3 linked regions of the Arabidopsis thaliana genome follow. The protein of the gene in region 2 interacts with the protein of the main gene of each other region in a pairwise test. Each region holds a gene or a part of one and is shown on either strand. Other genes may lie near its edges.

The links.
Region 1: the proteins of AT2G35910 (region 2) and CRK19 interact in a protein complementation assay, tested with the Arabidopsis thaliana proteins (one large-scale study listed by BioGRID).
Region 3: the proteins of AT2G35910 (region 2) and NAC097 interact in a two-hybrid assay, tested with the Arabidopsis thaliana proteins (one large-scale study listed by BioGRID).

The regions. Positions count from the first base shown.
Region 1 is NC_003075.7:12,168,909-12,172,669, forward strand, and holds the start of CRK19 (cysteine-rich RLK (RECEPTOR-like protein kinase) 19), read left to right. Parts: upstream 1-2,108; 5' UTR 2,109-2,224; coding exon 2,225-2,990; intron 2,991-3,081; coding exon 3,082-3,219; intron 3,220-3,310; coding exon 3,311-3,432; intron 3,433-3,722; coding exon 3,723-3,761. Other genes in the region: CRK18 (cysteine-rich RLK (RECEPTOR-like protein kinase) 18), read right to left, coding at 70-195, 310-1,147.
Region 2 is NC_003071.7:15,072,408-15,076,168, reverse strand, and holds AT2G35910 (RING/U-box superfamily protein), read left to right. Parts: upstream 1-2,028; 5' UTR 2,029-2,290; coding exon 2,291-2,944; 3' UTR 2,945-3,282; downstream 3,283-3,761. Other genes in the region: AT2G35920 (RNA helicase family protein), read right to left, coding at 66-211, 322-591.
Region 3 is NC_003076.8:20,677,422-20,680,924, reverse strand, and holds NAC097 (NAC domain containing protein 97), read right to left. Parts: upstream 1,704-3,503; 5' UTR 1,701-1,703; coding exon 1,514-1,700; intron 1,488-1,513; exon of another isoform or gene 1,452-1,487; coding exon of another isoform or gene 1,412-1,451; coding exon 1,140-1,411; intron 1,042-1,139; coding exon 919-1,041; 3' UTR 651-918; downstream 1-650.

The sequences.
Region 1 (3,761 bases), on a different chromosome or scaffold from region 2:
CACTTCAAAGTATAAGGTCTCATGACCGAAAACAATCAAGGTTTTAACAAACAAACAAAGAAAACTCACTTGGAAGATCCATTTCTTGCTTTTGCTTTCTTCTATTGGAAATAACAAAGCCTAAAACAACCAATATTATTGTAACAACAGTAACAACAACTATTGCTGCGATTTTTCCTCCTGATATTCTACTATCTGCACAAAACACAACTCATCAAAAGCATAAATACACAAAAACCAAAAAAAGAAAAAAAAACAAACAGAAACAAAACAAGACAATTTTCTGAAAATGTTCCAACAAGGACTTTCCATTCTTGGTTATGTTGGCTATAGGAGACGGGGATGTAACTGAAGGCGGCGGTGACTTTGGTAAATTAATCTGATCAATAGCACCAGAGAAGGGATACACTTCCCATCGGAAAAAGCAGTTTGGCCTTGACATAACGCCGCCTTGGTGCCCACGGCAACAATTATCATAGTCGACAACGTTTTGCCGTAAGCAAGTGTTACAATCCTCTGACGAAACGTCTGGTGTGCATTGCATCAACGCTGATATGTTCTTAAAATCCGGCACAAGAGCTATATCGTCTGAGTAGTACTTAGACGAATTGTTCCCCCCTGATGAAGAAGAAGTTATTCCGGCGATCATACTAGAAGTTAAATTATTCCACTCGATATCAAACACAGTCTGATTCGTATTGAGTTCTCCTGTGTTGAATATCGCTCCTAGTGGATCCATGACGAGCAATCCAGAGAAGGGGCGGTTAGCGTAGCGAACAAGGCAAAGGGTTTCTTCACCTGACCAGAAGAAAGCATCTGCCTGGTCCAGACAGCTTTGTAGTAAACTCTCTGATGTGGACCTGATACAGAGAGAGCAAACATCACGCTCAGAACCTGGAGCGCACATCCCGGTGGCAAAGACTTGGTCAGGAGCAATCCCAATCGAACCGATGAAGTAGCCCTCCTGAGCCGTGACGTTAGAAGCTAGAGTAGAGAGGATGAGTCGGCGGTTCTTATCATAAGGACTATTGGGTATGAAAGTCCCAGTAGTATTGTCACAAGTTTGTGCAGAAACAGAAATTGCACTGAAGCTTATGACGAAAAAGACGAAGAAACAGAGGACTAATTCACAACTCTTCGTTGCCATTTTTCTTTTTTCTTGAGATAATGTGTGGGTGGTGTAGTTAGTATTTGACTATTTGTGGTTCTTAGAAATTTAATCATCAGTTTAAAATTTCCATTTGAATAACCATGCACATTAATAAGAAATTGACAACTTTGAAATTTTTGTGCTAGACTTGGACTATGTGAGTCAATCTTTGATATTAGGTTTTGGGGCTTATGAAAGAATATACATGTTAATCATTAGCCTCAATTTCAACGAGAGCTAAAAACCGTGATCGATGCATCATCTACGTACAGAACAAGGAAAAGACCTGCTAGTAGACATGCTTGGAGGATGTGAATGCATTTAATGACTCATATCTAAAAAGTCAAAACACGCAGAAAGAAAAAATTGTCATCTCAAAACACGCAAAAATGATCAAGCTAGATTCGATTTGTTTTCTCCACAAATAAGAAGCATAGTGACTTTAATTTTGTGATGTAAAGTGTAAAATGCTATTTTTCGGTTACGTAAAGACATCTTCGATGGTTACTTCTATATTTTCCTTTATTTTTGAAAAAACTTTATTTTGGAGATGATCATTAGAATACAATTCTTTTAAAATAGAGTTGAAAATGGTTTAAAACTTTTTTTTTTTTAAGAAGCTTAAATTACAGCGTAAATACAATTTAAGACAATATTTGCGGTACTCTCCTCACGCTGATTTTTCATGCTATCATAATTCTGAATTTCTGATGTCCACGAAAAAATAAAAATATAAAAATAATATCTTGTATTAGAAAATTGAGAGAGAGAGAGAAAAGATTCTTTTCTGACAAATAATATCTTATCATATCCAACTAAGTTAGGCTGTTTTTTTTCCTTTAATTCCTGACAAATAGTTTATTGTAATTTAGAAATCGTAACTACTCTCTCTTTGTCTTTTTTTAATAATAGTTATTATTTTGCGCGATACAAGTTTGACATTACAAAATAAAATAAAATAAAACCGGCGTTTACTAAGACTTGTTGGTCTCATAGAAAAAAGGGAAAAATATAGTTCTAGTTTCAAAAATTGAGAGCTACATGATCTGAAACCCAGATCGAGGAAAAGGAACCATGTCTTCTCTGATCTCTTTCATCTTCCTTTTCCTTTTCTCATCCATCACAGCTTCTGCTCAAAATACTTTCTACCTATATCATAATTGTTCAGTCACGACGACTTTCTCAAGTAACAGCACTTACTCCACCAATCTCAAAACCCTTTTGTCCTCTCTCTCTTCCCTTAACGCTTCTTCTTACTCCACCGGATTCCAAACCGCCACGGCGGGACAGGCCCCCGACAGGGTCACCGGACTTTTCCTCTGCCGCGTCGACGTCTCGTCGGAAGTTTGCCGTAGCTGCGTCACCTTTGCCGTAAACGAAACGTTGACTCGGTGTCCAAAAGATAAAGAAGGCGTGTTCTATTACGAGCAGTGTCTGCTCAGATACTCTAACAGGAATATAGTAGCCACTCTAAACACCGATGGAGGAATGTTCATGCAGAGCGCTAGGAATCCTCTATCAGTCAAACAAGATCAGTTCAGAGATTTGGTCTTGACCCCCATGAACTTAGCCGCCGTTGAAGCCGCCAGGAGTTTCAAAAAATGGGCTGTGAGAAAAATTGATTTAAATGCATCCCAGAGTTTGTACGGAATGGTTCGGTGCACTCCTGATCTTAGGGAACAAGACTGCTTAGACTGTCTGAAAATAGGCATCAATCAAGTAACCTATGACAAAATTGGGGGAAGGATTCTTCTGCCGAGCTGTGCTTCAAGATACGATAATTACGCGTTTTACAACGAATCTAATGTTGGAACACCTCAAGATTCATCACCACGTCCTGGTATGAACAGTCCCTTTCCTTTGACTACATATTTCAACACAAGTTTCATACAAGAATTTTGCTTAAAAAATTCTTGCTGTTGTTGATACAGGAAAAGGTGGAAACTCCTCTGTCATAATTATTGCAGTTGTTGTTCCAATCACTGTACTTTTTCTTCTATTAGTAGCTGTTTTTAGTGTCAGGGCTAAAAATAAGAGGACGCTTAATGAGAAGGAACCAGTAGCTGAAGGTAAGCACACCAGTGATAAACATATCTCCTCATAGAATGAATAGTCTGTTGTGCTCTTACTTAATTCAGCTGTTGAAGTTTTCTTTTCCAGATGGGAATGATATTACGACTGCAGGATCACTTCAGTTTGATTTTAAGGCAATTGAGGCAGCAACGAATTGCTTTTTGCCAATTAACAAGCTAGGTCAAGGTGGTTTCGGCGAAGTTTACAAGGTATTATTACCATTGAACAGAGCAATGTACTCTGTTTTTCCCCTGTTTCCAAATCAAATCTCACACACATTACTTCGAAAGTTGAGATGTATGGGATGAGTGCAGCAACCTTGTACTTGCAAAGGTTGTTGCGGAACAAAGAAACTCTAGTCGTTAATTATCATCCTATATTTGTAACAAATACTAACTTCTACTTGTATACTTGCATTTTGAGTACTTCATTTTCATGATTAATCTTACCGACAATTCCTATATACTTATGGTTATCTTAAAATAAATTACTCGTGTAGGGTACATTGAGTAGTGGACTACAAGTTGCGGTGAAGAGA
Region 2 (3,761 bases):
ATTCATGACATACTCTCACCATATGGACTTAAAACGAAGTTGTCGAAGAAGATATAGAGACTTACAAGTAAAGACCCATCTGCAAAGCCATATCAGAAAGTGTTTGCTGATCTCCACGGCTAAAATTACGCTTAATTAGCATCTCTTGTTCTCCTCCTGTTTTCCATTGCTCAATCTTGTTCCACCATTCATTCTCATCAAGTACTTCCATCTGAGATAAATTATGACTACTTCATCATCTGATTCGAAATTATGTATCAATGTCTAATCGTTAAATTGAAGTAATGAACTCAGAATCTACAAGAACAATGTATCAATTACCTCAGCTTGTTGCTGGCGCAAACGCTCAGCTCTCCACACAGGATCCCACCATCGCTGTTCCCCCCGGCCGCCACCACCACCGCCACGACCGCCGCCGCCGCGTCCACCACGACGACCGGAGGAATGACCTCCGCCTCGACGACCACCTTGAGAATTAGGACCGTGAGGAGGCATAGCGGCGGTGTGAAAGAGAGGACGAAGCGGAGAGAGTTTGGAAGAAAATGGAAGGAGAAAGCGAAGCGTGGAGAAACAAGAGAGGGACTGTTGCATTCGTAATGAATATAAAGTTTGAAACAGTTTAAAGTTGAACTCGCACTGACGACTATTTTTGCTTATTGGAAAATTTTGTATTGAATTTTGTATTACACTATACAAGATAACACACACATATGATATGAGTGACTTAAACCTAATTTAGCTTCAACTTTCAACCATACATACACATTACACATATGAGTAAATCTAATATCATTAGCCGGAAGATATGCGCTTTTTGTGAAATTACTAGATCAACAGTATTTGATACATCACCAAACTGATAGCAAATTAGTAATGATGGAACTAATTTGTGACACCACCAAACTGAGTCAACTATGAGACTTGGACAACTTATTCCAAGAGTGAGTTAACAATAAAAAAACAATGTCAGGATTATAACATTTTTTTCTCTCTTATTATTTCTTCCAAACTTTTTATGCCTAGTAGTAAGTGTTTCCTTTATATATTTGGCCTAAGTAGCTCAATTAGTGTTTGAGTGTAATTTCATATGTTTTGAGTATCCGGCCCAAATATATGGCTTGAAGGTCATAAATTGTTTATCTAAATTCATATTGTTTTAGATGACATAGACTATAGAATATATGATTGGGAATCCGGAGCTATGGGTTTTAAAAGCCCATAGTTACTCTACTGATTGGGGAAAAAAAGAATTGAAAAATTGGAAGAGCGGCGGCAATAATTAAGTGTTCAATAACAATGGTGTATTCGAATATCAATTAAAATTCACTGAATACATTCATTCTTCACCAAATGAATCCGCCCCTGGATAATATACGTTCATTTATCTCCATTCTTAATTACATGTATATCTGTTTATATACTATCATAGCTAGTGTATATTAAAATATACATCATGCGAGCATGCAATGACGCATTTTCTTCATTAATAACAACTGTCCAACAGATTGTTTTCCATTATCAAAGATGCCTTGTGTTAGTAACTTGGCCGTTAAGTGAATGATTTTTATCCTATGGTAGTTTGCCAAAATATAATTTTATGTAATACAAATGTTAATGCCCACGACTCAATTGGTTAAATTTGGATTTCCTAGTATATACAAATTATTTACCTACAATTATATTTTATTTTATTGTCTTGCCACTTTTAGGAGAAAAACAAAACTTTATATTAATCTTCTAATATGGAGAGATTTCAAAGTTTTAAATATTCTAATACTAAAATAAGATAACACTGCGACTTTAAAAGCAAGTGAAGGAAACTAAACGTTGCTTAGGTGACATGATTGGACTTAAATAAGCCTGAATAAAGGAGATAACTAAACGTACATAAACAACAAGATTAGTATATAAGTACAACGTTGACTTCAAACTAATTCAGCGTAAACCTTCTCTAATCTTAGCCACTGGCCCCTCCCTACATTCCTAAATCAAATCTTAATACATGTCACACGTTAAATTCATTAGCCCTGTATCCAATTCAATTGTGCAACTAAGTGTTTTATGTTTGAAATAAACAACGAATTAATGGGTCAATATATTTATATATGCGTTATACTATTACAGTATTACCAATACAATATTAGAAAATTTATACATTGAATATTTTTTTAACCATCCACAAGTCACACAATTCTTGCTTTGCTTTGACAAGCTTTCTTATCCTCATTCACATGCATTTCCTCCCTTTGTCTCTCTCTCTCTCTTAGCGTTGACTTTTGATAACCCCAAGATGCTTCAATTTACATTGTCTTATATCAAATCGCTGACCAAAAACCTCTCCATTATTTCTCCTCTTCCTCCTCCCAAACCCATTAAACAAAACCATCAAACCAAACCCGCCATGAACAATTTCCAACCACCGCCACCGTCCGAGATGCCGGACTACAACGGCCTCCTCGGCACGGACGACATAGGAGGATTTCGATACGGAATCGGTGTCTCCATCGGGGTCCTCCTCCTCATCACCACCATCACCCTCACCTCATACTATTGCACACGTAACCAGCTCTCTTCTTCACCTTCACAAACCAACCAAGATTCAACACGTATCCATCACCATCACCACCATGTCATCATCGACGTTGTCCCCGGTCTTGACGAGGACACCATTCAAAGCTATCCAAAGATTCTCTACTCGGAAGCAAAGGGACCAACAACGGCGTCGTGTTGTGCCATTTGTTTAGGAGACTACAAGGGAAAACATCTGCTGCGGCAGCTACCAGATTGCAACCATCTCTTCCACCTTAAATGTATCGACACGTGGCTTAGACTCAATCCTACGTGTCCTGTGTGTCGGACTTCGCCGCTTCCAACTCCTCTGTCTACTCCCCTCGCCGAGGTTGTCCCTTTAGCCTCCTCCGTGGCCGCCACAAGAATGTCCTAGTGATTTGTTTATTTTATAACCGAAGAAATCGAAATCTTGACTAATCTCCGGCTTAAACTCGTTATTAATTCTTCTTTTAATTCCTTGTAAATTTGTTATTTTTGGTCACTAACTGATCACTGTATATACACTCTTCGAAGCCGAAGATTTGTAAGAGAAAGGAGGTTAAGGATGAATTTTTCACAATTTTGTTGGATTAGTTTTTCTTTAAGCAATGTGAACGAGTTTATCTATACATACGTACCAAGAAAGAGTAATTAAAGTCGTTTTGAATATTGGCAAATATGTTTCTTGGCTTGTATTGAACTTTGAGAGATCATTTTAAATATTGAGACGTCAAAGAAAAAAAAAAGAGTTTGAGGACAAGTTGGAACTTAAGATAATGGGATCGAATCAATTAGGCGTTTTTGATAGTCAGTCTGACAATCTTTCTCAATCATATGGTTTATTTATTAGCAATTTTTTTTTTGTTAAACAAAACCAGATATTTAACAGCGTATTTGTCTTATTGGGTAAACCGTTAGCCAATACATATGATGATATGAGAAAAAGACTTTTATGAGGACCTTAAGAAAAGATATAAAACGTTGATTAAGAGATATAAATCAAGAAGAAAAAAAACACTTGAAAACGATTGTTTTTGTCTCCAATCTCAAGCTGGCTGAAATTAAGTAGGTGAGATGATAAAAATGAGTTGACCATGATAAAACTACTCTTATCTTATTTAAAGTATTCGGTAAACAAAAATATTACTCCAAATATTAGGAACCATGATCGAGAGAGAAAACATGGTGAAAAGCTCAATTTCTCATTAATG
Region 3 (3,503 bases), on a different chromosome or scaffold from region 2:
GGCAAGACAGATTTGGAGTGACGGGTTTTTGAATCAACATTAATAAAAAAGTAAAATATAATTAATCCACCGTTTCAATACTGGTTAAATATTTAATTTATTATTTTTTAAGACCACTAATATTAAACATATCAAATCATCCTAATTTAGAAAAGATTATATAAAACCGAAAATATTATGTAGTATGTATAATGTTACTATATATAAAATTAAACTATAAAATATAAATGTATTAGAGAATGATATAATTTGCAAAACTTTTATATATAAAAATAATTCTTAAATTTTAAAAATTACTTTTTTAAAAAAAAATCACGGGACGGGTAAAGAAATTATACAACAGGTTTTATTTTGGAATTGGATTATATGGTGGATGTATTTGAATCAATATTTATAAAATTTTAAAATATTATTAATATGCTGTTTTAATAGGGGTTACAACTTCAGTTTTTTAAAAATTGTCTCATGGATTCGTGGTATAGCGTTACTTAATAATAATTATAAACTGTAAAATATAAATATTTTATAAAAATAAAATTTGCAAATTTTAATATATATTACTTTTAAAAAATAAATCGTCCCGCGGTATATCGCGGATTAAAATCTAGTTGTATTTATATTGTGGGAAGACCTCCTCATGTGATGTTGGATGGATTGGTCTAACGGACCACTAATAATATATATATATATATAATTGGACAAGAACAAAATAAAACGGGAGAGTGAAAGCAACTTGTGGCATCTTTCACCACATCCTCAATTACATTCCATTCCATTCCAAAGGGCTTGGAAGACAATAAGACAAATCATGCATATATATTTCATTTAGATGTTCCCTAATATCCTAACAATAGTAACTAAATTCAAACGATTCACCACAAAACCAAGTACATATATTTATGGCATCAACCTCGGTCGTCACCGGCTTTGAATAACTTCCTCGCCATCAGACTCGTCAGACTCGTGCTCATCCTCCACCATCTCTTCATCATTCTCTTCCTTCACTACGACTTTCACCGCCCTCCATTTTCCTACCTCACCCTTTAAAACCCAAAACATTGATATAGTTAGCTCTAAACTATTACTTACAACAAAAATATATGTTATAGAAAAAGATAAAAGTCCAATGAGTGACTCACCCGAGGTAGAGGGGACGATGACCACCTTGTAGCTCTAGAGGAAAGAAGTCGGAACTCGTACATGATCCATGGAGTTATTGTCCCTCGAGGTTTTTTTCCAATAAAGAAAGCAAATGTCTTTCTCCTTCCTTCTAAATGAATACAATCACGACCACCAGCCTCCATTACTTCCTCTTCTTCACACTCTTCCCAATAACCGGATAACGTCTCTCTTCCCTTCCTCTCTCGCTCTTCCTTCTTCACGAAGTAATACACTTCCTTGTTCTTCTCTCCTACAACAAAAGTGTACGTACAACATTCACTAAACCACATTTTTCAATACATTTGACGTGATATGGTATAGTAATTATTAGAGAGAAGAGTTTGTAGCAAACCTAGCAAGTCCCATGGATCAACATTGCAAGAACGGAGCTCAGGGAGATCGAAGTCCATTGGACGGTGGAGGACCTTCTTGGCGAGATACTCGAACACAAGATCTTCATCATCGGGATCGAACCGAAACCCGGGAGGGAGTCTCATGCTTCTTCCGTTCATGGCAAATCTCTGCGCAGAAATGTCCATTGCTTTCTTATGAGTATCCTTTGTGTTTGGTTTAGGTTGTTTATATATACTTATGAGTGTGTCACCTTTAGTTTGGCAAAAGCGGATTCTGCTTTTCCTTTAGATACTTTTTACGTACTACTATTAATTTCAAGAGATAAATAGATAAAAAAAAATTGATAACTGCAAATTCAGAGATCGTAGATTGGTTTCATTTTTGTTTATTTAAATGCGAGGATCATCATAACAAATTGTGGTGCATGTACCCATGCAGTCAACGTTGTTAAGGTTTTGAATATAGCGAGTATTCAAAAATATCTTTATTTTTTTGGTAAAGATAATCTAGTTCCTTTTTCGTTTTCCTGGGCAAAGGTAATTATTTATTTTTTCAACCAAAACGAAATAAACAAGATTTAAGTTCCAAAAGCCTAGATCCACGCTGATTCATTACCATATAAGTACATTCAACATCAATAACTAAAACGAGCACATTTCTAACAATTGGCCCAGAACTAATTTTAACATGCATTTGAAATTTTATTTTTCATAAGCCGATCGGTTAGCCCAGGTAAAAATACACGTAAGTGTTTAGAGTGGATTTAAACCCGAAAAATTACCACAGTGTTTATTCCAAATCTGAAATGTTTTCACACCGAAAAAGAAAACAAACCTTTATGTTAGGGACCTTACACATGTTTAGGGACTAGTGTATATATCATCCATGTAAAAATATCCATGCGACCCTTTTTTTTTCTTATAGTAATGTCGGAATGATATACGAATTATAGATATGAATGTACATAAATAAGCGAAAGTTTTGGACGTACGTTCAACCTATAATTTTGTAGTAAAATCATTTCTTGGTATAAATTTATACGTGGAAAAGGAAAACTTATATCATCGAGGAATCAAAATTTTCTTTGTCTTTATCATTTGGCAAGTGAAATAATAATGTCGGGATACAATACATTTTTAAAACAATAAATTTAAGTAAATATGCATAAGCAATGATTAAGAAATAAGAAAAATATAAGAAAGTATATTCAGAAAACAAAAGTGAATTTGAAAGAGAGTCCAAGTCGATCCCAACTTAAAGATTTGAGAAGCTGACTTAACGAGTAAGTTATTAGATGTTGGTCTGACTCAATTTTCTACTCTCATGCACTTCTTTAATTTCAATTATTTTAGATAAATTATTGTATATATGTGTGTCTTTGGACTGGTGACTTGCCTTTTATCCTTCCTTTTTTTCCTTGGATCAATAAAGCTCCCAAAGCCCCCACCAAACCAAAGTTGTTCCAATTTTTTGCTTCAACTTTCCAGCATCAGCCTTTGATTTTTACAAATAGCATTTTAGGTTTAGTCCTCTTTGTATAATGTTATGTTTTATACACTAGAAATAAAGGTTACATAATTTGTCTTTCGAAAGACTAAGAAAAGAAAATGAAATGGATTAAAGATGATTGTTTCATTGTTAAGGAATCGAGATTAGTTTAATTGGTTGGAACTTGGAAGAGAGTATTCATCAGCTTTCTTTTGCTGAATCTTAATTCGAATGCAACATGACTAGCTTATATTTGATAAATATTTTAAATTGTTAACATCTAGCTTTAATTCTAGTCCAAAATTTCTCTATATAATTTTCATGTGTTGAAAGTAGGCAAAGCTCTATTTGTTTTATATTCATAAAGGATATAGAAAAAGCTTTAAATTTGTCAATTTAGAATCATATGTCTTACTCCTCCCACGCAGCATTTTGGATTTGGTACTTTTCTTCACCTCGAAGATGTTGGCTTTCCATTTCCTTTATTTGTTTGTTTTCAA